Xenopus tropicalis: one gene and its partners. The main gene of each other region encodes a partner of the protein of the gene in region 2 in a complex. Links are inferred from orthologs where the notes say so. Each region holds a gene or a part of one and is shown on either strand. Other genes may lie near its edges. The genes, in order: trpm3, gnb1, chrm2, ffar2, kctd12, gna13 and kctd5.

Region 1 (3,562 bases), on a different chromosome or scaffold from region 2:
GTAGGTGTGTAGCACTAAAATAATTGTATAGTTTGTCTTTAGCCTGTATTTTCAGTGGAAGGTGCTGTATTTGGTAATTTTTTTTCAGCTGCAGGGTGGGGCCCAACACAGCCTGTGAGTCAGGTTTCCTTCCTACATTTGGTCTCTTGATATTATTAATATTGACAGAAAACGGAAAAGCATCAGCACAAGTTAGTCTTATTGAATTTTCTCTCACTGATTACTATACAATGGTGTCTGCGTAGAGTTTGGAACTAGTATTTAAAAATAAAATTGCAAAGCAAGATTTATACATATATGTGCATCATATAATAAACAGAAGATTTCTCACCATTTTTCCGATCATCATAACATATGGTCCAAGGTATTTGTTTACACCAAAGATATCAAGCAAGCGAATATACCAGTAGATAATGTTCACACAATATATCACTCTCCCATAGCTGCTAAAGGGTTGCTCTTGCAAGCGGAGTACCATCCCAATAGAAAAGAGCAGGATGGAGACGAGGTCTGCTAAATTCCAGTATTCTTGCAGCCATACTTTAAACTTTTGTAACAGCTTTCCTGGCTCGGACATCAAGATCTGTATGAACACAAAGCAGTATTACATAAAGTACTTGGCCCAAGCTCCCTTGCAAACCAAACATGCCGTAATTCTGTTTTTTCCATGCTGTAATTTAGCAATCCTAAAATGAACTTCACAAATCAAAAAGCCACTTTTGTCATCTTATATTAATAAACAAGGGATGTTTTACACCATATTGTAATATGGGCCCAAAATAAGCACTCCCTTTATGGTGTAAGAACTGTCATTACAAGTACATGTATGGGATCTGTTATCCAGAATGCTTGGGACCTGGGGTCTTCTGGATAAGGGAACTTTCCGTAGTTTGGATCTCCATGCTTTACGTCTACTCAAAATTCATTTAAACATCATTAAATACACCCAATAGGATTGTTTTCCATCCAATAAGGATTAATTAAATGTAAGTTGGGATCAAGTACAAGGTGCTGTTTTATTATTACAGAGAAAAAGGAAATAATTTCTAAAAATTGGAATCATTTGTTACAATGGAATCTATGGGAGATGGCCCTTCCGTAATTCAGAACTTTCTGAATAACTGGTTTCTGGATAACTGATCCTATACCTGTACAGTTATGAGACCAGTTGTCCAGAATGCTTGGGACTTAGGGCTTTCCAGATAAGGATTACATTCTACTAAAAAATCATTTAAACATTAAATAAAAACAACTGGATTGTTTTGCCTTCAACAAAGATTAATTATAGCCCAATTATAAATATAGTTGGGATCAAGTACAAGACACTGTTTTATTATTACAGACAAAAAGAAAAACAATTAAAAAATGAAATTATTTGATTCAAATTGAGCCTATGAGAGATGGCTTTCATGTAATTCAGAGCTTTCTGTATAATAGGTTTCTGGATAATGGATTCCATATCTGTACTGAGCTTTGGCGCTGCTGCTGCATGCTGCCCATAAGGTTCAAGTGCCTAATTTCTACAGCTCCAGAAGTCACTGAAGGCATCAACAATTATTCTGATGGGTCTAATCAAGTGCTTTACTTCTTAAACATTTCTCCACCCAATGTAAAAAAGTAAGAAGTTACTCAGTATATATATATGTAATACAACATAGAGACAACCCCCCCCTCTAAGACTGGCATATCAAGTCTTGGCCATAGCAGGGCCCTAGCATGTGTCTCAGAGGGGTGAGATTTCAATTTACACTGGTCAGACATACACCTGATACAGATATTCCCTCTGTGTGTTGAATTAATATATAACTAGCACACAGTAATGACATCAGCCCTGACAAGGCAGACCTTCCAGGATAAATGTAACTTTATCTGCCCAACAAGGGAGGTGTTGATTTTAAAGCATGGCCAGCATTCAGGACTCTGAAACAGAGAAATGTACATCTTCTTTTATTCCTTACTGTCAGACAAAGACAGTTTGTCCTCAGTATGATTATTTAACCTCATTTTACATCAGTAAATTATTTAAAAATGATAGCTATTGTATTATCTGTAGATATAAGAGGCCAGGCTCTAGCAAGAGATGCTTACTTTGCATTATTCCACCCTCACTTCAATATTTGAAACTTTAGCTCAGGAATTCGCATCAATATTATTCTGTTACAATATCTGCTAGACAGGAATGCTAGAATTAGATGTTTCTATATTTAGTGTCATTCTCAAAATTCATTTTTAGAAATTGCAGAATCATCAGTCATTCATTTTCACTGTAAAATAATAATGTAATAATGTGTTTTTTTTCAATATTCCCAGACAAGCATTAAAAGAATTGTGGATTGAGATCCACATAATGTACTATAGATAATGTTCTGTGCTTTTATTACTGCTCTCTGAATATCCAGTGAAATATATACAAACCCTAGATATGTGACTACAGGTAATATGTACTAACAGATTTTCATTATTAATTTGGTTGACTGACATTATTTGTTTGCGCCAGTCAAATAACACACAATAGTACAGATAAAATTGCAAAAGAGTAACTTTTTGCAGTGGTAAAATATTGTATTTGCAGTATTAGATGCTCACCAAAAACCAAAGCACATACAACCTTTTTATTTTTAATATTACAGTGTCCTCTAGTGGCTACTGTGGTTCTTTTCTTTAAATCTCTGACTACTATATATTTTTCATAGAAGAGTTCTGCAGCAGTAGGAAAGTGCTCTTGTCTTTTGCTGTATACTGAATATGGATGGAGCACACATTTGGGTGCCTTATATAGTGTAATTCTATAATATATAAAGTAATTATATAATAATGATGTAATAAAAATCATTATATAAAGTGAGCTTTATAACTGGTATAATACAGAATTAACTTTGAGGACATGTTTCAGGACACAATAGGATCAGCCTGCTCTACAACAGGTTAGGTAGTAAACAGCTGGACCAATATTGCAATGATCCAACTGGTCAGTTTATGAAGATATATGCATTTTGCTTGAAATGGTGGAGTAACCTTTAACAACCATTCATGGGTCATAAACCAAATGGTTAATTGGTTGCTATGGGTTTCAACACCAGTGCAAAGTTGCACCTGTGTTTTTATATTCTATCTGGCTATTACAGCAAAATTCTATTAGTTATTAACAAGAGCATGTGTTTATGTTTAACTTATCTGCAGTTATTAGTTCAGATAGCTGGATGATAAAGTGTCCATACAACAGTTATTTTTGTATGGTTGGAACACTTTACATATACTCTGTTATATATGGATTCCATACCTGTAGTTTTAACTGCCTGCATCTTATTAACTTATGGTTATTTTGGTAATAATTGGTAATAAATGTTTGAATCAGTTTTACCTCACGCATTTTTTCTATTCCCAGAGTGAAAATATATGAGATGACAATCCATTCCTGCATTGATGGCCAGCGGTCCATTTTAACTAGAACAATGTAGTTGAACAACATGAGGTAGCCCATATAGGCCATCTGTGGAAAGACACACAAATAAAAATGATTAGACAAAACATTTAGGGGGTTATGTAATAAATGGCACTAAGT
Region 2 (3,562 bases):
ATTTAAACAATACAACCTGATTACAGCCTGAATCTGAGGTGGGAACCATGCAGGGGGGGCAGTTAATCTCAGTACTGATACCACTTAGAGCTTACACAAGAGTAAGCCATCAAAGCAGCCAGACAGGTGGGGGGCCACACAGAGGGGGGTCGCGGGCCGCATGCGGCCCGCGGGCCGCCAATTGGACAGCACTGCTTTAAGGCATCCAAGGGGGGGCAGGCCTAGGTAGGACTGCTTAGCCTAATGGCAATTAGCAGGTAAATATTGGTTGAATGCGGTCTTGCATATTTCTTGAAGCCCAATCCGCAGGCTGATTATGATGAAACTTGTGACATTTGCTGTCCTTTGCTGTATTTCACTAGTGAGAAGACTAATGTGACATTTTTTTATGCATTTTCAACCAAACATTTTACAAAGGGGCTTGGGCCAAAATTTGTCCAAGAACATTAAGGCCTTTATCACTCTACACAGATGTCTTGTTCTCCCTGCACTGAGAGGCAGATACAGCTGCAGAATGTCTGTATTGGTCCTTTATGGCAGGGGTCCCCAACCACTGGGCCGGGGACCGGTGCCGGGCCGTGCTGAACTGGGCCACCTCTGGTCCCAATTACCTGTGATCCCAACTCCATGACAACTGCTATGTGAAGCCCAGGAAGCTTTCTACTGATCACAAAAAGGACCAAAGTACTTAAAGCTATATATTAAGTGTCAGAGGATGTCCCCACTTGGGTGGGAGTAAGCAGAGCAGAGGGGCTGGGTGCATCTAGTTGCTGATTTTGTATTATGATGAGCTGTATTATACCCACCACCCCTGGTCCTCAGAAAAATTGTCTTGCTTGAAACCGGTCCCTGGTGCAAAAAAGGTTGGATACCACTGCTTTATGGCAATCATATACAGATTTACAGGATTGTCAGATCAGTTGTTTGGTCCTGCTCCTTGATTGCTCTGAGACTCTGGATCCTTTCACATAACACAATCCATTTTTACCTCATTTTGATTCCATAGTCTTAAAAGACTAATCCCTTTCTCGTAAAAATCACAAGCTTAGCAGTGATTCCACCATATGTACTGCTGTTATGATGTGTATCATTAATGAATTGTGTTTTTATACTTATTTGGGTTTAATAAAGACATTATTTGTCCTGTGAGCAACACATCTGAAACCTTAAACACAGTATGATGTGATAGCAGCAGGTATTGGGCAAAACTTAGATTATTGGTATTAATATGTTACAGCATAAGGGGTCTATTTGTCCCAGATGTAAATACAAAAGATGTTGTGATAACATCTTAAGATGTTAATACAAAAGATGTACCCTTGTTGGTAGCAGAACAGTCCTGTTGTGTTTTTTTTTTAATACTTAAATTACTTTTTAAGTATGGTGATCCAAATTGCAGAAAGCCTCCTTTTCCGGAAAACCAAATTTCCCAAGCATTCTCGATAACTGGTCCCATATCTGTACTACTTTTTGACTTTGGACACCATCGTCCATTAATGGCCATAAGCTTATAAATGCTAATATTGATAGATAGCAACTATAATTAACTTTAAACATTACACATCTTTTGTATATCTGTTTAATGTGAGATGCTAATTCAGACTGGATCACTCCACAAAATGGTAGTTTGTTAAATAAAAAGTCCACCTTTCAGATTAATTTATAGTATTAGTAAATTATACACGGACTTTATTACCATTATTATGTTTATACCAAAGTCCTTGGATGTTGTATGGTTTTAATTCAAGCTGTTTTAATCATCCGTTTTTCTACAGGGTATCTTTCCTGCTGCCGTTTTCTGGATGATAACCAAATAATTACCAGTTCTGGAGATACCACTTGGTGAGTTTATTGATCCCCTCAGTTTGTTTATAGTCTCTAAAGAAAGCTACTGTACTGCTGTCAGCATAGTATTTCCCTGTACTGTGAAAGTATTATAAAATATCCCTTAAAGCAGTAGGAAAGATATAGTCACTGGGGCCAAATGTTAGCCACTCCCAGTGATTGTAATCGCTTACCTGATACCTCAGGCCAGTGCTCCTGTCAGCTAACATTTTGGCACCCCCCCAGTGATCATACCTTTCTGTCTCCTTTAATAGCAGAAATAGGCTTCTGTTCATAATTAGGATTTATGTTCTATACAAACTTTTCACAATTTAGAGAGATGGGGGGGGCTAATTTGTCAGTGTATGAAGAATGACTTGGCCTAGCTGCCTGTTTAGCATCAGAGAAGCTTCCATCTTTTCTTTTATATTTATATAATATATATATATAGTGTGTGTGTATATATATAATATGTGTTTCTGTGCCTTTTGATGCTTTGAGCTCATCTGTCTCTTTCTGAACAGTGCCCTTTGGGACATTGAAACTGGCCAGCAGACAACAACCTTTACTGGACACACTGGGGATGTTATGAGCCTGTCCTTAGCTCCAGATTCCAGGTGCTTCGTGTCTGGAGCCTGTGATGCATCTGCCAAACTTTGGGACATTCGAGAAGGAATGTGTAGACAAACCTTCACTGGACATGAGTCGGACATAAATGCCATCTGTGTAAGTCTATGTGACCACCTGTTTCTATCCAAACTTGTCTTATCCATATGACTGCCAAAAGGTTTGCCATGTTAAGGGCACGTTGGGTAAAGTATGGCTACGCAACACTCTTTTCATGTAGCATAAATTTAAAGTGCATCTATCGACTCCCATATTGTTTCCCCCTCCAGAGGTTGGGCTAATAGAGCCTGCACGCCAGTTGGGTAAAACGATAGTTTTACCCAACTGGTGTTTTAACCCCGGCCTGGAGCGAGCTCCCGGTGCAGGCGACCATGTTTGGCTTGCATGCGTATATTGAGCAAATCTCACCGCTCACTCATTTATACACATGCCCCTGGCATGGGAGCGTTGGATGCAACTCACCCTCCTACATCATGCATGCACATAATGAACGAGTTGTGGCACTCGCTTATTATGCGCATGTGTTACAATATGGCTGCCTGCACCAGAAGCTCCCTCCTGGTGGGGGTAGCCTAGCACTGGCAGGGGGCATTTGAATAAAAAAAAATCAACACTGCGGGTAACTATCCAAAATAATTAAACAACAAATTAGGCTACATATACTACACTTTATATTGTGGGTTTCTGTACCAGACCAAAGCCACTACCTCCCTTTAGCAGATGAAAGGAAAACTAAAGCTTAACTAAAGAAGTAGGCTAGAAATGTAGTACCAGCCCAAGGCAACCACAGCCTTCTGCTGATTCACTGCACAATCTCTGTGTTGTTACTGAGCTTAGGGAACCAGTCACAATGAACTGTATATATAGAATATAAATGTCACAATATAAGGCTGATAAGTAATCAATACAAATAATTGCTGCTTGGCAGCTCAGAAACCAATGCAATTAGCATCAGAATTTAATAATCAGCTCCCAAGCGTCTTCCCCCCTATGACAGACAAACCTCATTTTCTGCTTGATAATTTGCTAAGAACCCCAAGCTTAGATTTTCAACAGCTGCCCAAAGCACATTGAGCATGTCACTGACACTTCTAACAGATTCCAATTTGAT
Region 3 (3,495 bases), on a different chromosome or scaffold from region 2:
GGGGAAGACTAAAACCCACAGGACCCCAGGGTTGGACGGTTCTGGTCAGCATAACCACGTTTTTGAGCATTGTGGGAAGGTGGAGCCATCGTCACCCCAGTGAACCCAAGTCTTCCCTCTTTTCTTCTCCAACTTGCTATCTTTTATTAATATACTGCCAACATAGTGGGTTGGGTTTGGGTGGGAGAAGGTCGGTTACGCTCAGACACAAGTCAAATATTGTCGGCCAATGCATCACAACGCATCACAACTGTCAGGTTTCCTCTGTGGTTGGGACCCTTGATGGTTGTGTTGGCTTTTGCTGACTGCAAAAAAAGTTGGAACTTGTGGTGAAGATGGTACTTTAGGTAGATCATGGCCATGTTCTATTGGTTGTGGTCCTATACTAATTATATGGTAGGTCCAGGGTCAGAATGGGCTACCAGGCCACCGGGAAAAATCTGGTGGCCCAGACCCGACCCTTGCCGGCGCTCCCTCTGCCCAACTGTTCCTCCCAAGATGCGTTAAATTTACGTGCTCAGGGGAGGACGTTGGGTGGGGGACCCTGCAGGGGGTTAGGGGGGCACCAGGGGGGGGTGCGGTCAGGGGACGTAGCCGGCGGGGACACCTGCAGGGTGGGCCCTGCACCCTCCCCAGTCTAACCCTGGGTAGGTCCCACAGCCCAAGAGGCAGAGGTGGGCCATTCGGTATTAGCCAGGCCCTTGGGGGGTGGGGGGGTACACGGTTCTCCATGATTTATGATGGCAGCCTTCCCTGGGCATTGTGATCAAAAATATTAACAATATATTAACAATACAATCTGGAATAAAACATATAGAGCATGGATCAGCCTTACTGTCTACATCCCACTTAATGTTTAAGTTCAACTTTCCCTTTAAATGTCTCCAGACAGAAGAAACCCCCCCCCCATTCCAGCGTGTGTCGCCTCGTACTAAATAATATTATTGCATCTTTACTTTCCCTTTACGTCCCTGCGCTATTATCCAGCCTTTTCCTTTACGGATAGGGACACCTCCCATTCACCGCTATATCCGACTTCGAGTTTACATGTTTGCAAGACCATGTAGCGTTAATACATCTTATCGGTAATTACTGTAAAAAGAAAGAGAGGCTTCTGCATAAATAATCCCCTTTTCCCCATGAATTCAACACAGAACTCTGTACAGTGAATTGATTGGCTAGTTTGTATCCAGGAAGCTCTAATGTGGCCCCCGCGGGGCCCCCGATCGTGAGAGATATATTTTTGATAGACAAGTCACTGAAAACACTGAGGCACAGAAGAAACCAGTTTAAACGCTTAGGATAAATATTGGGAAAAAAAAAACCCCAAAAAAATTCTGCGTCAAACTTGGGACTTTGTGAGTCATGTCAACGTCATTTTTGTTCAATACTCTGCCACTCGGTTTCCTTGTAGACGTAACGACTCGTTAAAGTGTGAATATCGTAGTAATACAGACATGGAATTAACTGGGGAGCCAAGGAGCCCTTGAGAGTCCGTCAACGAAAGAGCACGAAGTTGTACCCAGGTTCGACTTCAATGGTTTCCAAGTTCTAAGTGCGGGTGGAGAAGACCCACCAGTCCCGGCGAGGTTCTTTGATTGCACATTCCGTTTATGAGTGTAAAGTGCTATGGCATTATATTAAAATGGCAGCTCGGAAGGTCTCCGTCTCCTCCACCTCCGAGTATTTTTTACCTAGCCGAGCCGATGTTTTTATACTGGCACATTAGGAGGTGCTTGAAAGTCTTCTTGAAGGTGGTATTGCAGAGGGCGTAGCAAGCAGGGTTGATGGTGCTGTTGATATAGCAAAGCCAGTAGCCGATAGTCCAAACGGTGTTGGGCACGCAGACGGCACAGAAGGTGTTAATTAAAACCATGACGTTGTACGGTGTCCAGGTGATAATGAACGCAAGCAGAATGGCCAAGATTGTCCTTGTGACTTTCTTTTCTCTGGAAGGTGGAAGCTTCTTCTTGGGAGGCTGTTTGGTCATCTTTACAATTTTGCGGGCAACTATGTTCTGCTTGTCTTCTCCGTTGCGTCCGTTGGCCCCTGGGACGATCTCCACGGTGGTGCCGGTGGCATTAGAACAATCGCCCTTCGGGGACTTTGTCACTATCCGTATGCACGTGAGCTTGGAGTTCTCCGTCTTTGGATTGGCTTGAGATCCCGAGGCCTGTGGGACGTCTTTGGCGGCACCTTCGTCCTTGGTGTTGACGACGCTGACCGACGTGGAGTCGTTGGAGATCTCTTTTTCTTCCCCTTCTGCCTGGACGCAGTTTTCGATGCCGGAGTTGCTCGTGACTTTGCCGTTCTGGATTTTCCCATGGTCCAACCCGTCTTCGTTGGCGGCCACGTTGTTGTTATTTGGTTTTACGATTTTCCCTTGGACATTACTAGGAGATATTGGGTCTTGATTGGGCGCTGCCTCTTTTTTGCCCTTCTTGATCCGGCTTTTGCTCGCTCTCGATATCTGCCAGTACAACACGGTCATGATAATGACGGGCAAGTAGAAGGCAGCGATAGCCGTGCCAAACGTGACCGCGGCATTGGAGAAGAACTGGATGTAGCACTCACCTTCTGGGACAGTTCTCCCTCCAACGATAAACTGCCAAAAAAGTATAGCAGGCGCCCATAGAATAAAAGATAGCACCCAAGCGGCGGCAATCATCATGCCTGCCATCTTGGTGGTGCGCCTCACTGGATAGGTTAGAGGTTTGGTGACACAGAAATACCTATCAAAGCTGATGATGAGAAGGTTCATGACTGAAGCATTGCTGACGACGTAATCCAAGGCCAACCATAGGTCGCACACAACAGGTCCTATCGGCCAGTACCCAATCACAGTGTAGAGAGTATAGAGGTTCATGGAGAAGACCCCGATGATCAAGTCAGCGCAGGCTAAGCTGAACAAAAAATAGTTGTTGACAGTCTGAAGGTGTCGGTTGACTTTTATGGAGACCATGACCAAGATGTTTCCAATGATGGTGACCAAGCTGAGGGATCCAGCCACAATCACAATGAAGACCACCTCTACCGTTTTGTAAGGGCTTCCCATCATGGTCTCATTGGTTGAGGACACGTTGACTAGGCTTGAGTTATTCATGATTGCAGATTAGACAGCTCCTCAATGACTCTCTAGAGACCATTTACACCTGGGGGAGAGAGGAAAAAGGAAACTCATTACCCACCAGAACGTCAACTGTAAGTAAGAACTAAAGGGGAACTTTACCCAAAGTCTGTATTTTTGCCTAATGAAAGAAAATGTTATTGTAATCAACATTAGTGATGAGCGAATTTTTTCGCCAGGCATGGATTCGCAGCGAATTTACGCATTTCGCCATTGGCGAATTGTTTCGCAAAACTTCTGTGAAAATTCAACGTGGAAAAATGCGTTGCGCACAATTTTTTTTGGTTGTGCATCAAATTGGGCGTGGTCATGTCAAAAAAGGCGCGGTCGCATCAAATTGGTATCGGGTGCGTCAAATCAGGCGCGGT
Region 4 (4,167 bases), about 31 Mb from region 2:
ACATAAACCATATATTCCAACATTAATACTAACTGTAGATTTTAATATTACAATAGCCTTGGATACTATGTTTTAAGGTATTGCCCCTTTTAAAGGCATTAAAAGAATCTGCCATCACTACATCACTAGGAAGTGCATTCCCCAATCTCACTGCCCTCACCGTGAGGAACCCCCTGCGCTGCTTCAAATGAAAGTTCTTTTCCTCTATTCTAAAGGGGTGACCTCTGGTGCGTTGATCCTTTTTATAGGAAAAAATAACTTCCCCCAAAGAGTTTCCCTTCCATATTTAGATCTCTAGCTATAAATAGAACATCCTGAGGTGGCTTTTTGAATTGGGTCTCTTGTGCCAGATTTCACACAGCCCTATTGGGTTTATTTCTATGTTTAAATGATTCCCTTTTCTCTGTAATAATAAAACAGTATCTGTACTTGATCCCAACTAAGATATAATTACCCCTTATTGGGGGCAGAACAGCCCTATTGGGTTTATTTCTATGTTTAAATGATTCCCTTTTCTCTGTAATAATAAAACAGTATCTGTACTTGATCCCAACTAAGATATAATTACCCCTTATTGGGGGCAGAACAGCCCTATTGGGTTTATTTCATGGTTAAATGATTCCCTTTTCTCTGTAATAATAAAACAGTACCTGTACTTGATCCCAACTAAGATATAATTACCCCTTATTGGGGGCAGAACAGCCCTATTGGGTTTATTTCATGGTTAAATGATTCCCTTTTCTCTGTAATAATAAAACAGTACCTGTACTTGATCCCAACTAAGATATAATTACCCCTTATTGGGGCAGAACAGCCCTATTGGGTTTATTTAATGGTTAAATGATTCCCTTTTCTCTCTAATAATAAAACAGTACCTGTACTTGATCCCAACTAAGATATAATTACCCCTTATTGGGTTTAAATAATGTTTTATTCATTTTTTAGTAGACTTAAGGTATGGAGATCCAAATTACGGAAAGACTCCTTATCCGGAATACCCTTGGTCCCGAGCATTCTGGATAACGGGTCCTATGCCTGTATTTGAAAGCAAATACACCCAAATCCTGCATGTAGAGCTTAAACTCTATAAACTGCTCCACTAAAAACATATATTTTCTGCATATATATTGATATGGAGGCATGTTGCTTGTATATTAAGGGGTGGGAGTCAATGAAGCATCGACATTTATTTATAACCACAGATTTGCAGAATCAGTTCATATCCCTGGTGTTACTAACACTAGTTTATTGGAGTTTATGCTTATACATAAGGAGATATCATTATTCTAATGGTAGGTTAGATCTTAATCACATAAACTACAACTGAAGTTCTCAAAACAGCAGAGACCAAGTTCCACTTACCGCCATATCTGTCCCATCGCTATTACTTTCTATATGTCTCATTTCTGCAGCTTCTTTTCTCATATTCTGTATCACTTCTTATTACTTCCCCATTTATTTTTATTTATTTCTTCCGTTTTCTCACACTTTCTGTCTTTTTTTCCCTCAATTTCTATGTTACTTTTATCTGTTCTTGTAAATCTCTATTGCTGATCTGTTCCTAGGCATGGGAACCTTTCCTACCTGGCTGGAGCATAAGCAATACCATTAGTACTGGTCCAGATGCAGAGAGGTATCCCTACCCCTAAGCTTTGCTATCAGATTTATTTTTGTCCCCATAAACCTGTCCTGCACCTCAATTACTGAAGCAACCAAGGTCGGTCCCCCGATTACAGTTAAATATAAGGTACATGGGGGGAAGGGGGTAGTGGTGGGTGAGAGGGCAGTTGAGGGCCCCTGAAGAGGTTTGTTTTGCTTTCAATAAAGATAAATAATATCTTAGTTGGGATCAAGTACAGGTACTGTTTTATTATTACAGAGAAAAGGGAATCATTTAACCATTAAATAAACCCAATAGGGCTGTTCTGCCCCCAATAAGGGGTAATTATATTTTAGTTGGGATCAAGTACAGGTACAGTTTTATTATTACAGAGAAAAGGGAATCATTTAACCATTAAATAAACCCAATAGGGCTGTTTTGCCCCCAATAAGGGGTAATTATATCTTAGTTGGGATCAAGTACAGGAACTGTTTTATTATTACAGAGAAAAGGGAATCATTTAACCATTAAATAAACCCAATAGGGCTGTTTTGCCCCCAATAAGGGGTAATTATATCTTAGTTGGGATCAAGTACAGGTACTGTTTTATTATTACAGAGAAAAGGGAATCATTTAACCATTAAATAAACCCAATAGGTCTGTTCTGCCCCCAATAAGGGGTAATTATATCTTAGTTGGGATCAAGTACAGGTACTGTTTTATTATTACAGAGAAAAGGTTCCAAAATACAATAAAGTATAAAGTTTCATGGAGTGTGTATAATCACCTTTGCCTTCAGTCTGGTAATGAAAATCCAAATCCTCTTAAAGATTCCAGGGCACCACATCAAGTCCAAAAATAATGAGCAAAATCAGGTGCCTCCGCATCCCAAATGGCTCCTCCTGGGGTGGTAATTAGGTATAAGTATTAGGTGGGTATATATCTTAATAATGCTTCTTGGCCAATATGACCTGTAATTAGGGGATAAATATCCTTTATCCAATAAGCCTTGTAGGGTGCAAGAGTTTGGGTCACATGTTCCCTGTGTAAGAGCAAGACATGAGCCCTAAGGAGGCTGCTAGAATCTGGCTCCGGCTCCGGCACTTCACTCTCTGTCTGCTCCTCCGCTCTGCTGGGCTCCTGTCACTTAAACAAACTTACACAAGAGCCAGTCACGTGTCTCCCCATCCTCTGCAAGAGGCAGAAATGAGCCAACGGACGCAGCAATCTCTCTATTAAACTGCAAATATACAGAAGAGGGAGGGAGGGGGGGTGAGACCAAAGGAAACACATGAACCTCAGCAGAGGAATATCACAGATTTCACAAGAAAGATCCAAAATAAACAAATGGGGGGAATACTGAGCAATGAGACTGAGCAAGAATAGAGCAATAAGGCTTTTTTTGTCCATCAGTATTTTTACTGATATTTTACATTTTACAGTACAATGTGTATATATGGCTTTAGAGACTGTCCCATAACAACAAGAACAATATTAAATTCTAACAAATGAACGAATGAAACAACCATAGATAGATCAGTTTTATTTCTGTAAGTTATTCTTTCATCTTACTGCTTTTTATTTCTAAATGACACTGTTACATAGCAAATAATTCCCTCTGCCATTGAACATTTTATTTTTGGACCAACAAATGTATTTGTAGCTGTAATATTGGTGTGTAGGCGCCATCTCAGTGCCTTGTGCCTGAGTCTGAGCTTTCAGCCAGCGCTACACATTAGAACTGCTTTCAGCTAACCTATTGTTTCTCCTACTCCCATGTAACTGGAGGAGTCCCAAGCCGGACTTGGATTTCTTACTATTGAGTGCTATTCTGATACCTACTGGGAGCTGCTATCTTGCTCCCTTCCCATTGTTCTGCTGATCGGCTGCTGGGGGTGAGGGGGGGATATCACTCCAACTTGCAGCACAGCAGTAAAGTGTGCCTGAGTCTGAGCTTTCAGAAGGAGCCAGCACTACACATTAGAACTACTTTCAGATAACCTATTGTTTCTCCTACTCCCATGTAATTGGAGGAGTCCCAAGCCGGACTTGGATTTCTTACTATTGAGTGCTATTGTGATACCTACTGGGAGCTGCTATCTTGTTCCCTTCCCATTGTTCTGCTGATTGGCTGCTGGGGGTGAGGGGGGGGGGGATATTGCTCGAACTTGCAGCGCAGCAGTAAAGTGTGCCTGAGTCTGAGCTTTCAGCCAGTGCTACACATTAGAACTGCTTTCAGCTAACCTATTGTTTCTCCTACTCCCATGTAACTGGAGGAGTCCCAAGCCGGACTTGGATTTCTTACTATTGAGTGCTATTCTGATACCTACTGGGAGCTGCTATCTTGCTCCCTTCCCATTGTTCTGCTGATTGGCTGCTGGGGGTGAGGGGGGGGGATATTGCTCGAACTTGCAGCGCAGCAGTAAAGTGTGCCTGAGTCTGAGCTTTCAGCCAGTGCTACACATTAGAACTGCTTTCAGCTAACCTATTGTTTCTCCTACTCCCATGTAACTGGAGGAGTCCCAAGCCGGACTTGGATTTCTTACTATTGAGGGCTATTCTGATAC
Region 5 (4,262 bases), on a different chromosome or scaffold from region 2:
TTTGATTTATTTGATAAATATTCCTCTATATACACGAAGTTTGCAAGTTCTTCCCATGCTTGTATCAGTTTCTTCTGGGTATTCTAGTTAATATTGGCCATAATATTGGCCATAGTCAGTGTTGGACTGGCCCACCAGGATACCAGGAAAACTCCCAGTGGGCCCAGGTATCAGTGAGCCCTTTTGCTTCTAACTATTTAGCCTATTTCATAGTCATTCCTTATTTCTGTATGGTGACAAGGAAGCTTGCAAGATGGAAGAATAGAGTATAGTATGTAGAGAAAAAAGAGTAGGATAATAAAGAGTTTGAGGGAGGAGAGGAAGAATAAAAGTTCTGAGAGTGGGCCCACGGTCCAGGGTTTTATGGTGGGCCCCTGCCACTTCAGTCCAACACTGGCCATAGTGTGTGTATGAGAATGTGACAAAACCTTAGCCTGTAAATTCCTCTTTACCTGAAAAAGTTACCCTTTTACCCTATGTATCTGAATGAAAAGACATACACAAATAATGTATGTTATGATGATATTATAGCATATTTTACTTTTTTTTTTTGGAAGAACAAAATAAGAGAAAAAGAAAAATAATGTGTTCTCATACTAATATGGACATTTTAGACTGTAATGCTAACATAATGCATATATATATACAATATATATATATATAGTCAGCTATCTTTTATTAACATCTTTTTACAGCTGTTATGGGCAGTGCTCAGTATATTCTGTATTCAGCCATGCTGCATAAACCCTATTATTTGTAGATAAGAATGCAGTCATAAACCTTAAAGGATTTACTTACTGCTGACTTAATATATAACTAAATAAGATGAGGTTCAGCTTTTATCACTTAGCTATCGGAACAATTCTTTTTAAAACTATATTTCTATACTATTCTTTTTCTGCTGCTACTTAATGTGTGTGTCATATTTGTTGGCAATGTATTTTTTGTGCCTGCTATACAAAGGAAGGTATCAGATATACTATAGAGCTCTTTAGAGACTTGGACTGTGCCTTTATTCCATGAATGTCAGTCTCACATGTTATAATTACCCTTTCCAGCAAACATATTCTTACAAGACTGTGCATTAAGATAGATGAGTGGAAGCTGCTGACTACTTGACTGAATGAATGCTAATGTTACTTTTTATGCCTTGAAATAATAACTGTTTATGAGAAGGAAGAAGCAAGTTGCAGAGCTGTGCAGGTTTTATTTGAGTGGATAACAGCAGGGATCCAGCTGCAAAGCTTGCAAATACAGTACTGCACACATCCCCTTTTTGTATGTGTATGTGATCAGCTGTCTCTGGGCTTTCTCTCTTCGTTCCCCTCCTCCCTCCCACGCCTCTAGTGTACATTTCCACATAAAAACACAGACCCTGCCATCTCTCTCAATCAGAAACACAAGGAGAAGCGGAGGAAGGAAGCAGACTAGTCGGCTCTTCTGTGTATCTTGGCTGCACATGCACAGCCCTAGCTGAAACTGTGCTTTGCTCGAGAACAGGTTTTTATGCTTCTTTTTTTTCCAAGTGTTTTTACCCTTTTCATTTTTTTTGTTTTAGAAGGGGTATATTAATATTTTCCTTCTCCTAGTCTTCATGGCTTTACCTGATACTGCACGTGGATTACCAAATGGTGGAGGTGGCGGTGGAGGTTGTACAGAAAACAAAACTTCTGATCCTCTGTTCCCAGAGATTGTGGAACTAAATGTTGGGGGACAAGTTTATGTGACCCGTCACACTACTCTTGTATCAGTACCTGATTCCCTGCTATGGCGAATGTTTTCTCAGCAGAAACCAGGAGAACTGGCCCGGGACAGTAAAGGCCGTTTTTTCTTAGACCGGGATGGTTTCTTATTTCGTTATGTGCTGGATTACCTACGAGACCTGCAGCTGGTCCTACCTGACTACTTTCCTGAGAGAAGCCGTTTACAGAGAGAAGCAGAGCACTTTCAGCTACCTGAACTGGTGAAGCGTTTAAATCCTCTGCGAGTCAGTAAAGAGAGCTCTATTGGGGGTGAAGAACCACCTTTACTTCTAACCCCTGCAGCTATACACGATCCTGACTCAGACACAGCTGTTATCCCTGCCTCAACATCTCCAGCAGCTGGGGTTCCATCCCCAACATTAGATCCATATCGATTCAATGCCTCCTCGTCCTGCAGCCCAGCCTCAGTTCCACGCCTCACACCTTCTCAGTCTTTGGAAGGAAGAAGAAATGGGTACATAACAGTTGGCTATAGGGGGTCTTATACTATAGGACGGGAGGCTCAAGCAGATGCCAAGTTTCGGAGGGTAGCTCGCATCACAGTCTGTGGCAAAACTTCCTTGGCCAAGGAAGTTTTTGGAGAGACATTAAATGAGAGTCGAGATCCTGATAGGCCACCTGAGAGGTACACTTCCAGGTATTACCTCAAGTTCAACTTCCTGGAACAAGCCTTTGACAAGCTGTCTGAAGCTGGCTTCCACATGGTGGCATGTAGTTCCACTGGAACATGTGCCTTTGCCAGCAATGACCAGAGTGAGGATAAAGTCTGGACAAGCTACACCGAGTATGTCTTCTGCAGGGACTAAAACATTGTCATAGACTGAGAAATGGAAAGAAAAAGTGTCACACCTATTTAATCTCCTGATCCCAAAAAGAAGGTATTTCTTCCTCATATAAAGACAACAGCAAAAGTGAACTGCAATATTGTCATTTTTAATTCCTACATGTAGGTTTCTTATGAACAGAGAGAACATTTGGTAACTGTATAATGCAACAGATTGCAACAGCTCTGGCTTAGGTATGTTTCTAATACTCTGTGTTATACCACCCCTGCTATAGAACTTTGCCATTCCTTTATTAATGTTGTTTACCTGCTACTAAACAGCTTTTACCAACTTCCTTTTAGTAATGGACTGTGCATTCGACGCCAAATAACCCATGTGATCAGATTATTTTTCAGTTATGGGAAGTATACAAAAAATGCTACTGCTTAACATCATTTAAAATGTTTTTGACTGATATGCAGAAACACATATTTCTTTACCAATATACCCTCAAGCATAAATATATATACTTTACTGTAGGTACAAATTAAAATGAGAAGGGTAAAAGAACATTTCAGGTTATCTTTGTATCCCCTGTTATGCTCAGTCTCTTTTAAAATGTACTTTTTATTTGATACTATTCAAGGCAAATCAGCTAGCAAGATGATCTTTATGTTATATGGTCATTTTAACAGTGGTTTCTGCTTCTTACAGAAAGGAAATTAATTAAATCTTAATTCAAGCTTTTTATTCTTCCTAAAGAACAAAAACATTTTTACGGCTTCTGTTTGGCAAGACACTGCCTTCCTTTCATTTTAATGTTTTGGTTGTGGTTCATTATGATGAATTCATACATCAGCATATTTTTGAGAGCCCCACAGATGAGAACTGTGCAACCACAGAGTTCATTGGAAGTGCTGTAAATAGGCTTGATGTGTATCATGCCGAGTGTATAATGTGGAGCTGGTTAGAGCTGGCTCCTGTTTCAATAATAGATAATAACATATTTCCTCTTCTACTGCATTTTTTATGCTCTATTCATCTGAAAGTAATTAGAACATAATTAAAAAGGGTAAGGGAAATTGTGGAGAACACCATCCAGCAATACTATTTGCATAAACCCCCCAAAAACAAATAGCACTATGATAATATGGTGAAATATACCAAACTAGATATTTCTCTCTGATGAACAAAATGCTATTTTTTTGCATTAGCTTTGCCATGGTTAAGGTCCTAAGGGAACCTGGTAACAGCAGGAAGCCAATGTTGTCCTGTCACAATATATTGCCATATAGTGTGTGTGTGACTTCTCCTGATTTACAATACTCTTTTCATACAGTATGACAGGAGACTAGTCACAATTAATAAGAGATGTGGGAAATATTAATAGCATTAGACAGAAGATTGATTTTCTTTAAATGTGTATTTATTTGACCTTAACTGAAATGACCTACTGTTTGAGTAGAATGTATGCCCAGGAGCAGCACAGTTAACATCTCTAATGCTCACATGACATCTGTAACGTACAAGCTGTATCTCTAGTTTAATGCCTAAAGCCAGGCCTTGGTTACACTTTGTCATAAGCACTGAAATAATCAATAGTCTGTGTTGTCTGAAAACAAATAGAGTTTGTAAACATTCATTGTCATCATTCACCAGTATCCTATATTTCCTGGCACATAAACATTAAATAAAGAGAGCTAAAACCCCTTTTTTAATGATTAAGACAATTCAG
Region 6 (4,110 bases), on a different chromosome or scaffold from region 2:
TACCCTATCCAAGGGTTAGTGTCACTGAGGGGCCATTACTGTACGCTGTACTTACTAAAGGGGAAGATGAACCACTGATGACACCCCTCTGGGCTGCCCAGCTTTGGGGGTAACTTTGCAGTGGTAGCCAAGTTGATCATTTTGACACAATTGCCCCCTCCCCAAATTCCGCAAAATCTGCCCAAACCCCAGGGGTATCTACATCCCTCCCCCCATGGATCTAATTAATCCTTGCACAGGTTACCCAAAGGTCCCATTATAATTGCCCCCTTTGGTGTCACTTGGATGTCATTACCAACAAGCACATGTATGCCCCACTAGGGGTAACTAGAGAACACTGGGGCCCCATAATATGGACCCCCCCCCCCGGTACCTTGTAAACATACAGCAACTGTCACCCAGTCCCAGATAACTTCACACGTGATGTCAACGCCTTCAGTGCCACGTCCCACCCTGCCCCCTGGGGTATTAGTAAGGATGTTGTGACCCCCGGGGTGGCACCAATAGTGCTGCTGTGGGTAAGCACTTCCCCAATATAACCGTGCCCCTCTGAAAGGGTAAAATTTGACGATGTACAAACTATTACCCCCACTACTGGAACTGGGGTACCTTTATATAGCGCTCGCCACTCAAACCCCTGGGGTAACGGGGCTACTGATGCCCCTTAGCACAACCGCCCCCCAGGAACAAAATATAATGCTGCTGCAGATACTCCGCCAATCTAACTGTCCAACAAAGGGGTAGATTTTTGGATAAATGCCCTGGGGTATATTGGAAGACATTTCTGTAGATACCCCTAGCCCATACATATAGGTTTGTTTTAGTTGCCCTACATACCCCCCTAATCACTTCCCCAGGGTAATTAACACACTCCTGCACATAGGGGGTACACTGATGGGGCAGGTTTGGGTACCCCCAGTTTAAGTGCCACCCTTGTGTGTAGGTTTGCTATTGTTGCCCTACATACCCCCCTAATCACTTCCCCAGGGTAATTAACACACTCCTGCACATAGGGGGTACACTGATGGGGCAGGTTTAAGTAAACCCAGTTTAAGTGCCACCCATGTGGGTAGGTTTGCTATCGTTGCCCCTCATACCCCCCTAATCACTTCCCCGGGGTAATTAACACATTCCTGCACATGGGGGGGGGTACTCTGATGGGGCAGATTTAGTTACCCCCAGTTTAAGTGCCACCCCTGTGGGTGTTTGCTATAGTTGCCCTATATACCCCTAAAATCACTTCCCCGGGGTAATTAACACATTCCTGCACATACCCACCTCACATACGGGGGCAATCTGATGGGGCAGGTTTGCTATTGCTGCCCTACATACCCCCCTATTCACTTTCCCGGAGAAATTAACACATTCTGCATGCGGGGGGGGGGGGGGAGCAATTAGGTACCCCCAGTTTAAGTGCCACCCCTGTGTAGGTTTGCTATAGTTGCCCTACATACCCCCCCTAATCACTTCCCCAGGGTAATTAACTCATTCCTGCACATAGGGGGGCACTCTGCTGGGGCAGGTTTAGTTACCCCCAGTTTAAGTGCCACCCCCATGGGTAGGTTTGCTATAGTTGCCCTACATGGGGGTATGTAGGGCTAGTCACGTCCCCAGGGTAATTAACACATTCCTGCACATGGGGGGGTATCCTGCTGGGGCAGGTTTAGTTACCCCCAGTTCAAGTGCCCCCCATGTGGGTAGGTTTGCTATAATTGCCCTACATACCCCCCTAATCACTTCCCTGGGGTAATTAACCCATTCCTGCACATGGGGGGGGTATCCTGCTGGGGCAGGTTTAGTTACCCCCAGTTTAAGTGCCCCCCCTGTGCGTAGGTTTGCTATAGTTGCCCTACATACCCCCCTAATCACATCCCCGGGGTAATTAATCCATTCCTACACATGGGGGGGGGGGTATCCTGCTGGGGCAGGTTTAGTTACCCCCAGTTTAAGTGCCCCCCCTGTGGGTAGGCTTGCTATAATTGCCCTACATACCCCCCTAATCCCTTCCCCGGGGTAATTAACCCATTCCTACACATGGGGGGGTATCCTGCTGGGGCAGGTTTAGTTACCCCCAGTTTAAGTGCCCCCCCTGTGGGTAGGTTTGCTATAATTGCCCTACATACCCCCCTAATCCCTTCCCCGGGGTAATTAACCCATTCCTACACATGAGGGGGGGGGGGTATCCTGCTGGGGCAGGTTTAGTTACCCCCAGTGGGTAACTAGTGACACAATTGCCCCGGGCCGGGTACCTTTGATGACGTTGCTGTAGATGGTTGCCCGGAACTCCTCCTTGGCCCGCAGGTCGAAGTCCTGCCCGTGGATGATGCGCATCTGCTTGAGGAAGGTGGACTTGCCGCTCTCCCCGGCCCCCAGCAGCAGGATCTTCACCAGGCGCTTGACGTAGGTTTTCTCCCGGGAGAGGCAGCGATCGATCTCCTTGGACTTGCGCTGCTGCTCGGCCTCCCGGCTGGTGAGCACACAGTTGGGGAAGCACACGGACAGCACGGAGCGGGACGGCAGGAAGTCCGCCATCTTACACACACTCGCCCTGGCTCACTCCTGCCTCATCGGCGGCCCTGGGACGGGGGAGCGGTCCTGGCGGTGCGTGCGCGGGAGCGGCGCTGGGTGGGTACGTGCGCGCCCCCGACTCCTTTCGCTCTGAGTGGAAGGCGGGAACGCGCGGTTCCTTCCGTTCGCTAAGGCGCCGGTGTGTGAGGCAGAGAAAGCGGCTATCGTTTCTCTAGGGTTCCGCCGCGCTGGGAAACGTCTCGTCTACACCGAGCAACGCGGGAACTGGGGGCGCGGCCCGAACCCGGCAACACCATCCGCCATCTTGCAACTCTTCCTCACGTGATGCTTCCTTTGCCCTTCTACTGGCTAGCGCACCTCGTCATGTGATCCTCCTTCTGCAATTCTATTGGCTGCCAGACACTTCGCTCTCTAGACTTGCTCCATCTTGCTGAGGGGCTTCTGTTCTGTGGTGTCAATTGCCCCTCATTCTGTGGCAGGATACCCCTTCTGTAGGCTGCCTGAGAAATTACTCTCCCCTATAAAAGCCTCAGCTTACTGAAGAGATGAGAGGCCAAAGTAATACCTCTATATTTTATTATTATTTATATATAATATTCAGTTTGGTCATTTTGCCCTTCTACTTGCAGTCTGGCGGCTATCGCACCTCATCATGTGATTCTCCTTCTGCAATTCTATTGGCTGCCAGGAAGTTTGCTCTCTAGACTTGCTCCATCTTGCTGAGGGGCTTGTGTAGTGTCAAATGCCCCTCATTCTGTATATAGATGTATATATATATATATATATAAAGTGCCATGTGGTATGAGACACAGTAGGAAGGAGGTCCCTGCCCCGTAGCGCTTACAATCTAAGTAATTATATAACCCATTATTGTACTGCGCTATGGAATATGTTGGCGCTTTATAAATACATGTTATTAATAATGACTAGGGATGCAGCAAACCCACTTTTTTGGGTTCGGCCGAACCCCCAAACCCACCCCGACGGATTCTACTGAATCTCAAACCAAATCCGGGATTCGGCGCAGCCCTAATAATAACTGGTTATGTCCATGCAAGGGAATTTCATGTTAACCATTTGCACTCATTATTGCTAAGGGGGTTGGTACCGTAAAGGAGTTGCCCACCTTTGAGTTACTTTTAGTATGACGTAGAGAGTAACATTCTGAGACAATTTGCAATTGGTCTTCATTTTTTATTACTTGTAGATTTTTAATTATTTCAGGTTTTTTGTTCGGCAGCTTGCAGTTTCAGCAGCTATTTGGTTTCTAAGACTCAAATCACCTTAGCAACCAGGGAGTGGTTCGAATGAGAGACAGGTATATTAATAGGAGAGGGGCTGAAAAGAAGAATAAGTGATATAAAGTAACAATAACAATAAAACTGGAGCCTCACAGAGCAATAGGGTTTGGCTGCCGGGGTCAGTGACCCCCATTTGAAAGCTGCAAAGAGGCAGAGGAAAAAGGCAAATAATTCAAAAACAAAAAATGAAGACCAGTTGAAAAGTTGCTTAGAATTAGCAATTCTATAACATACTTAAAGGTGAACCACCCCTTTAAAGGAATATATAGCCAACCTTCTG
Region 7 (4,098 bases), on a different chromosome or scaffold from region 2:
CTACTAAGTGCTCTGGCACACGGGGAGATTAGTCGCCCGCGACAAATCTCCCTTGTCTTGGAGCGACTAATCTTCCGAACTATCATCCCACCGGCGAACATGTAAGTCGCTGGTGGGATGGTATACGCTGCGCAGGCGATTTCGGCAAATTGACGAAGTTGCCTCGCGAGGCATTTTCGACGATTTGCCGAAATCGCGCCGCCGCGTGTGCCATCGCCGGTGGGATGGCAACTCGGGGAGATTAGTTGCCCGCGAACAGGGAGATTTGTCGCGGGCGACTAATCTCCCCGTGTGCCAGAGCCCTAAAAGCCATAAAATACCCTGCCATAGACAATACTCAGAATTGCCTCTGCTAAAACACATGTAGAGACAATTATCAGTAATGATATAGTAGCCATGACAAGTAGCTGCTACTAGTAGCTCTATGTGTCTTCACCCTTAGCAAACATTAAGTTATCAGGGTTTCCAAGCAAACTACACAAAAAGGCTGCCCCTATCCTCTCAAGAGCTGCACCTAGGATTACCTACACCACAGTCCTTAGTAAAAGATGCTGCCAAACACCCCTTTAAAACACAACAGCTACTCATGAACACCACTGTCCTGCTCTTATTTAACCAACTGCCTCGGACCACACTTAACCCAGCTACCTTTCCACTTTGTCCCAGAATGTCACTGTCAAACCCCCCTGCTGCTCCGCAATCACCACATGTACAAAGTCACAATGGCCCGGTCTAATAGTTTCCAATATGGCCAGTCTACAGGCAAAACCATGATACAACTTTGTCTGCACTTTCCTGGGAAATTGTATTAAAGGGATGGTTCACATTTACATTAACTCAGTATGTTACAGAATGGCCAATTCTAAGCAAATTTTCAATCTGTCTTCATTTTTTTTTTTTATAGTTTTTGAACTATTTGCCTTCTTCTAACTCTTTGCCCCTTTCAAACAGGGATCACTGACCCCCACAGCCAAAATATGATTGCTATGTGAGGCTATAGTTTTATCGCTACTGTTTATTACTTATTTTTCTATTCAGGTCTTCTCCTATTCATATTAATTAATTTGGATTCTAGCACCCAAATAGCTGCTGAAACTCTGAACAAAAACTGAAATAATTATAAAACGACAAATAAAAAATGATGACCAATTTCAAATTATCTCAGAATATTACCCTGATATACATAATACTAAAAGTTAACTCAAAAGTGAAAAGTAATGGTCAGTATCACACTCCAGATATGCTCTACTTGTTCAGTGCTGATGGGAAGAAAAGATGATTCCTAATGGCAGAACATTTTCAGCCAGTCCTGTGTGGCCTACTACCTCTCTTTAGCTTTGTGTTACCCACTGAACTTCTTCACTGCTCCTTTCAAACCTATTCACCATTGCTTTCAACCCTGTACTGCCGACTACCCTTACACTATTGCAGCCGCATTTTGCTCACTACCTCTCCAAGTAACTCCATTTGCTTAGATGCATTCACTCCCCCACACCCCTCTGTTTATCCAAACTCAATCACCCTTCTGCTCCACTAATCCCCGCTCACTTACAGACCCTTCTGCTCCACTAATCCCCGCTCACTTACAGACCCTTCTGCTTCACTAATCCCCGCTCACTTACAGACCCTTCTGCTCCACTAATCCCTGCTCACTTACAGACCCATCCATTCCACTAAGCCCTGCTTACTCACTGCCCCTTCAGATCACTAAGCTCTGCAAAATTACAGCTCGTCCTCTTCACAAAGACTTCCTTACTCACTGCCCCTCTAGACCACCAAGTCCCGCTCACCCACTTGTTCATCTACCTTACAAGCCCCACTCACATTACTGCCCCTCCGCTCCACTAAGCCCCACTCCCGTTACTGCCCCTCCGCTCCACTAAGCCCCACTCCCGTTACTGCCCCTCCGCTCCACTAAGCCCCACTCCCGTTACTGCCCCTCCGCTCCACTAAGCCCCACTCCCGTTACTGCCCCTCCGCTCCACTAAGCCCCACTCCCGTTACTGCCCCTCCGCTCCACTAAGCCCCACTCACGTTACTGCCCCTCCGCTCCACTAAGCCCCACTCACGTTACTGCCCCTCCGCTCCACTAAGCCCCACTCACGTTACTGCCCCTCCGCTCCACTAAGCCCCACTCACGTTACTGCCCCTCCGCTCCACTAAGCCCCACTCACATTACTGCCCCTCCGCTCCACTAAGCCCCACTCACATTACTGCCCCTCCGCTCCACTAAGCCCCACTCACATTACTGCCCCTCCGCTCCACTAAGCCCCACTCCCGTTACTGCCCCTCCGCTCCACTAAGCCCCACTCACATTACTGCCCCTCCGCTCCACTAAGCCCCACTCACATTACTGCCCCTCCGCTCCACTAAGCCCCACTCACATTACTGCCCCTCCGCTCCACTAAGCCCCACTCACATTACTGCCCCTCCGCTCCACTAAGCCCCACTCACATTACTGCCCCTCCGCTCCACTAAGCCCCACTCACATTACTGCCCCCCCCTGGCTCCCCCAATAGCGGCCCCACACAAGCCCCCAGGCCCTGCGCCCATAAGCCACCCACACATCAACTACAGACACTTTGTGCCCACTGCCCCTGAGTGTAGGTACCTTATCCGAGTCCAGGTCGGGGTCTGCCTGGCACAGGCGGTACAGAAAGGATTTCGGGTCTCTGCACAGGGTTTGCCGCGTTGTCAGGAAGCAGGTCCCCCCCACGTTGAGCCGGACCCACTTGGACACTCCGGGAGCAGCGCACCTTCTACAGACCGGGATCCCACTCCCATTCACCTCGCAACTATTCCCTGCCATGGCCGTCACTATCCTGCCACTGACAGCCCCGGAAGTGTCCGCTCTTTAAAAACCTCCCCTCCTCCTTCTAATTGGGCGCTTGCGTCATGCTAAACGGAAGCGGAAGGTACGTGCCAGAAGAAGGGGGGCTATATAGTCCGAAACACCTGCTGTGTACGTTAGAGAGCAAATAATCACGTAGTTGGTGCAGTGACCCTCCCATATCCCAGTTAAAGAAGTTGTTTGCCTTCCTTTTAGTATGATGTAGATACAATTTGCAGTTAGTTTTCATTTTTAAAGTTTGTGTTTTTCTAAACGTATTAGCGTTTTGTTCAAGTAGCCCTCTGGTTTGGAATTATTTCAGCTGCTATCTGGTTGCCAAGGTCCTATTTAGCTTAGTAACCAAGCAGTGGTCTGAAAGAGACACAAAAATATACATTGAGAATTGAGAGGCTTAAATAGAAAGAAAGGTAATAAACATTATCAATAACAAAATTGTAGCTTCAAAGAGCAAAAGTTTAGTAACTGCTGCCTGGGGTCAGTGAAAGCTGGAAAGAGCCAGAAGAAAAAAGCTATCCAAAACAAAAACTAAGGACCAACTGAAAAGTTGCTAAGTATAGGCCATTCATGGGGCACATTCATGAAAACAAGAGTTCCAATCCCGAATGGGATAAATTCGGATTGGATCCGATAATTTGTTAAGATTGCAAATATCACGAAGATGCTTACGAAAAAATCACATTAGTCACGATAATATCGTATTGGCGATCCAAAAGTCACAAAATTTTCGTACCGAACGATCGTAAACGGCGGGAAACCTTTCTGACTTTGATCCTTCTTTGCATGATTTTGGAAGTCTCCCATAGGAATCAATGGCACTCTGCAGCTCCAACCCGGCCCAAGGAAAGTCTCCCATAGGGCTCAATGGCACTCTGCAGCTCCAACCTGGCCCAAGGAAAGTCTCCCATAGGACTCAATGGCACTCTGCAGCTCCAACCTGGCCCAAGGAAAGTCTCCCATAGGGCTCAATGGCACTCTGCAGCTCCAACCCGGCCCAAGGAAAGTCTCCCATAGGGCTCAATGGCACTCTGCACCTCCAACCCGGCCCAAGGAAAGTCTCCCATAGGGCTCAATGGCACTCTGCAGCTCCAACCTGGCCCAAGGAAAGTCTCCCATAGGGTTCAATGGCACTCTGCAGCTCCAACCTGGCCCAAGGAAAGTCTCCCATAGGGCTCAATGGCACTCTGCAGCTCCAACCTGGCCCAAGGAAAGTCTCCCATAGGACTCAATGGCACTCTGCAGCTCCAACC

What was found.
Region 1: the proteins of gnb1 (region 2) and trpm3 are in contact, whole or in part, in a crystal structure (PDB 6RMV), measured with the Mus musculus proteins. The link is inferred for Xenopus tropicalis from reciprocal best matches to the Homo sapiens genes GNB1 and TRPM3. Residues at the interface, in NP_001153488.1 of Mus musculus: Lys57, Tyr59, Trp99, Val100, Met101, Leu117, Tyr145, Gly162, Asp186, Met188, Cys204, Asp228, Asn230, Asp246, Arg314, Trp332; in NP_001349418.1 of Mus musculus: Lys615, Arg616, Lys618, Ala619, Lys621, Leu622, Leu623, Gly624, Met625.
Region 3: the proteins of gnb1 (region 2) and chrm2 are in contact, whole or in part, in a cryo-EM structure (PDB 7T96), measured with the Homo sapiens proteins. The link is inferred for Xenopus tropicalis from reciprocal best matches to the Homo sapiens genes GNB1 and CHRM2. Residues at the interface, in NP_001269468.1 of Homo sapiens: His54, Leu55, Asp312, Asp333, Ser334, Phe335; in NP_000730.1 of Homo sapiens: Val50, Asn51, Arg52, His453.
Region 4: the proteins of gnb1 (region 2) and ffar2 are in contact, whole or in part, in a cryo-EM structure (PDB 9CM7), measured with the Homo sapiens proteins. The link is inferred for Xenopus tropicalis from reciprocal best matches to the Homo sapiens genes GNB1 and FFAR2. Residues at the interface, in NP_001269468.1 of Homo sapiens: Arg52, His54, Leu55, Asp312, Ser334, Phe335; in NP_001357016.1 of Homo sapiens: Arg37, Gln38, Pro39, Gln40.
Region 5: the proteins of gnb1 (region 2) and kctd12 are in contact, whole or in part, in a crystal structure (PDB 6M8S), measured with the Homo sapiens proteins. The link is inferred for Xenopus tropicalis from reciprocal best matches to the Homo sapiens genes GNB1 and KCTD12. Residues at the interface, in NP_001269468.1 of Homo sapiens: Arg8, Glu12, Lys15, Arg19, Thr184, Asp186, Cys204, Asp205, Ser207, Thr221, Thr223, His225, Glu226, Ser227, Asp228; in NP_612453.1 of Homo sapiens: Lys246, Asp251, Leu253, Glu255, Ser256, Arg257, Asp258, Pro259, Asp260, Arg261, Pro262, Pro263, Arg265, Arg269.
Region 6: the proteins of gnb1 (region 2) and gna13 are in contact, whole or in part, in a cryo-EM structure (PDB 8H8J), measured with the Homo sapiens proteins. The link is inferred for Xenopus tropicalis from reciprocal best matches to the Homo sapiens genes GNB1 and GNA13. Residues at the interface, in NP_001269468.1 of Homo sapiens: Gly53, Leu55, Lys57, Tyr59, Gln75, Asp76, Lys78, Ile80, Thr87, Asn88, Lys89, Val90, His91, Ala92, Ser98, Trp99, Met101, Leu117, Asp118, Asn119, Tyr145, Asp186, Met188, Asp228, Arg314, Trp332; in NP_006563.2 of Homo sapiens: Ser31, Ile34, Asp35, Leu38, Glu41, Lys42, Val45, Lys50, Gly205, Ile206, Glu208, Lys219, Val221, Lys231, Arg232, Trp233, Phe234, Glu235, Cys236, Phe237, Asp238, Ser239, Val240, Arg279.
Region 7: the proteins of gnb1 (region 2) and kctd5 are in contact, whole or in part, in a cryo-EM structure (PDB 8U7Z), measured with the Homo sapiens proteins. The link is inferred for Xenopus tropicalis from reciprocal best matches to the Homo sapiens genes GNB1 and KCTD5. Residues at the interface, in NP_001269468.1 of Homo sapiens: Arg52, Gly53, Leu55, Lys57, Tyr59, Gln75, Asp76, Gly77, Lys78, Thr87, Asn88, Lys89, Val90, Ala92, Pro94, Leu95, Arg96, Ser97, Ser98, Trp99, Met101, Leu117, Gly131, Asn132, Val133, Arg134, Val135, Thr143, Tyr145, Gly162; in NP_061865.1 of Homo sapiens: Val157, Arg159, Val160, Leu161, Gln162, Cys163, Gln164, Glu166, Glu167, Gln170, Met171, Thr174, Met175, Ser176, Asp177, Trp179, Ser190, Tyr191, Val205, Lys207, Leu209, Glu219, Ser221, Lys223, Ala224, Leu227, Gln228, Arg230, Gly231, Ser232.

Annotation. Positions count from the first base shown.
Region 1 is NC_030677.2:129,964,140-129,967,701, forward strand, and holds part of trpm3 (transient receptor potential cation channel subfamily M member 3), read right to left. Parts: intron 3,491-3,562; coding exon 3,362-3,490; intron 584-3,361; coding exon 332-583; intron 1-331. UniProt on the Homo sapiens protein: Constitutively active, non-selective divalent cation-conducting channel that is permeable to Ca(2+), Mn(2+), and Mg(2+), with a high permeability for Ca(2+).
Region 2 is NC_030683.2:91,943,792-91,947,353, forward strand, and holds part of gnb1 (guanine nucleotide-binding protein G(I)/G(S)/G(T) subunit beta-1), read left to right. Parts: intron 1-1,775; coding exon 1,776-1,842; intron 1,843-2,348; coding exon 2,349-2,550; intron 2,551-3,562. UniProt on the Homo sapiens protein: Guanine nucleotide-binding proteins (G proteins) are involved as a modulator or transducer in various transmembrane signaling systems.
Region 3 is NC_030679.2:6,147,926-6,151,420, forward strand, and holds the end of chrm2 (muscarinic acetylcholine receptor M2), read right to left. Parts: intron 3,153-3,495; 5' UTR 3,104-3,152; coding exon 1,691-3,103; 3' UTR 523-1,690; downstream 1-522. UniProt on the Homo sapiens protein: The muscarinic acetylcholine receptor mediates various cellular responses, including inhibition of adenylate cyclase, breakdown of phosphoinositides and modulation of potassium channels through the action of G proteins.
Region 4 is NC_030683.2:122,767,891-122,772,057, forward strand, and holds the start of ffar2 (free fatty acid receptor 2), read right to left. Parts: upstream 2,801-4,167; 5' UTR 2,388-2,800; intron 1-2,387. UniProt on the Homo sapiens protein: G protein-coupled receptor that is activated by a major product of dietary fiber digestion, the short chain fatty acids (SCFAs), and that plays a role in the regulation of whole-body energy homeostasis and in intestinal immunity.
Region 5 is NC_030678.2:126,319,943-126,324,204, forward strand, and holds the start of kctd12 (BTB/POZ domain-containing protein KCTD12), read left to right. Parts: upstream 1-1,403; 5' UTR 1,404-1,594; coding exon 1,595-2,569; 3' UTR 2,570-4,262. UniProt on the Homo sapiens protein: Auxiliary subunit of GABA-B receptors that determine the pharmacology and kinetics of the receptor response. Increases agonist potency and markedly alter the G-protein signaling of the receptors by accelerating onset and promoting desensitization.
Region 6 is NC_030686.2:50,664,730-50,668,839, forward strand, and holds the start of gna13 (guanine nucleotide-binding protein subunit alpha-13), read right to left. Parts: upstream 2,818-4,110; 5' UTR 2,533-2,817; coding exon 2,250-2,532; intron 1-2,249. Other genes in the region: regulator of G-protein signaling 9, read left to right, coding at 3,075-3,087. UniProt on the Homo sapiens protein: Guanine nucleotide-binding proteins (G proteins) are involved as modulators or transducers in various transmembrane signaling systems.
Region 7 is NC_030685.2:28,840,808-28,844,905, forward strand, and holds the start of kctd5 (BTB/POZ domain-containing protein KCTD5), read right to left. Parts: upstream 2,815-4,098; 5' UTR 2,810-2,814; coding exon 2,612-2,809; intron 1-2,611. UniProt on the Homo sapiens protein: Its interaction with CUL3 suggests that it may act as a substrate adapter in some E3 ligase complex. Does not affect the function of Kv channel Kv2.1/KCNB1, Kv1.2/KCNA2, Kv4.2/KCND2 and Kv3.4/KCNC4.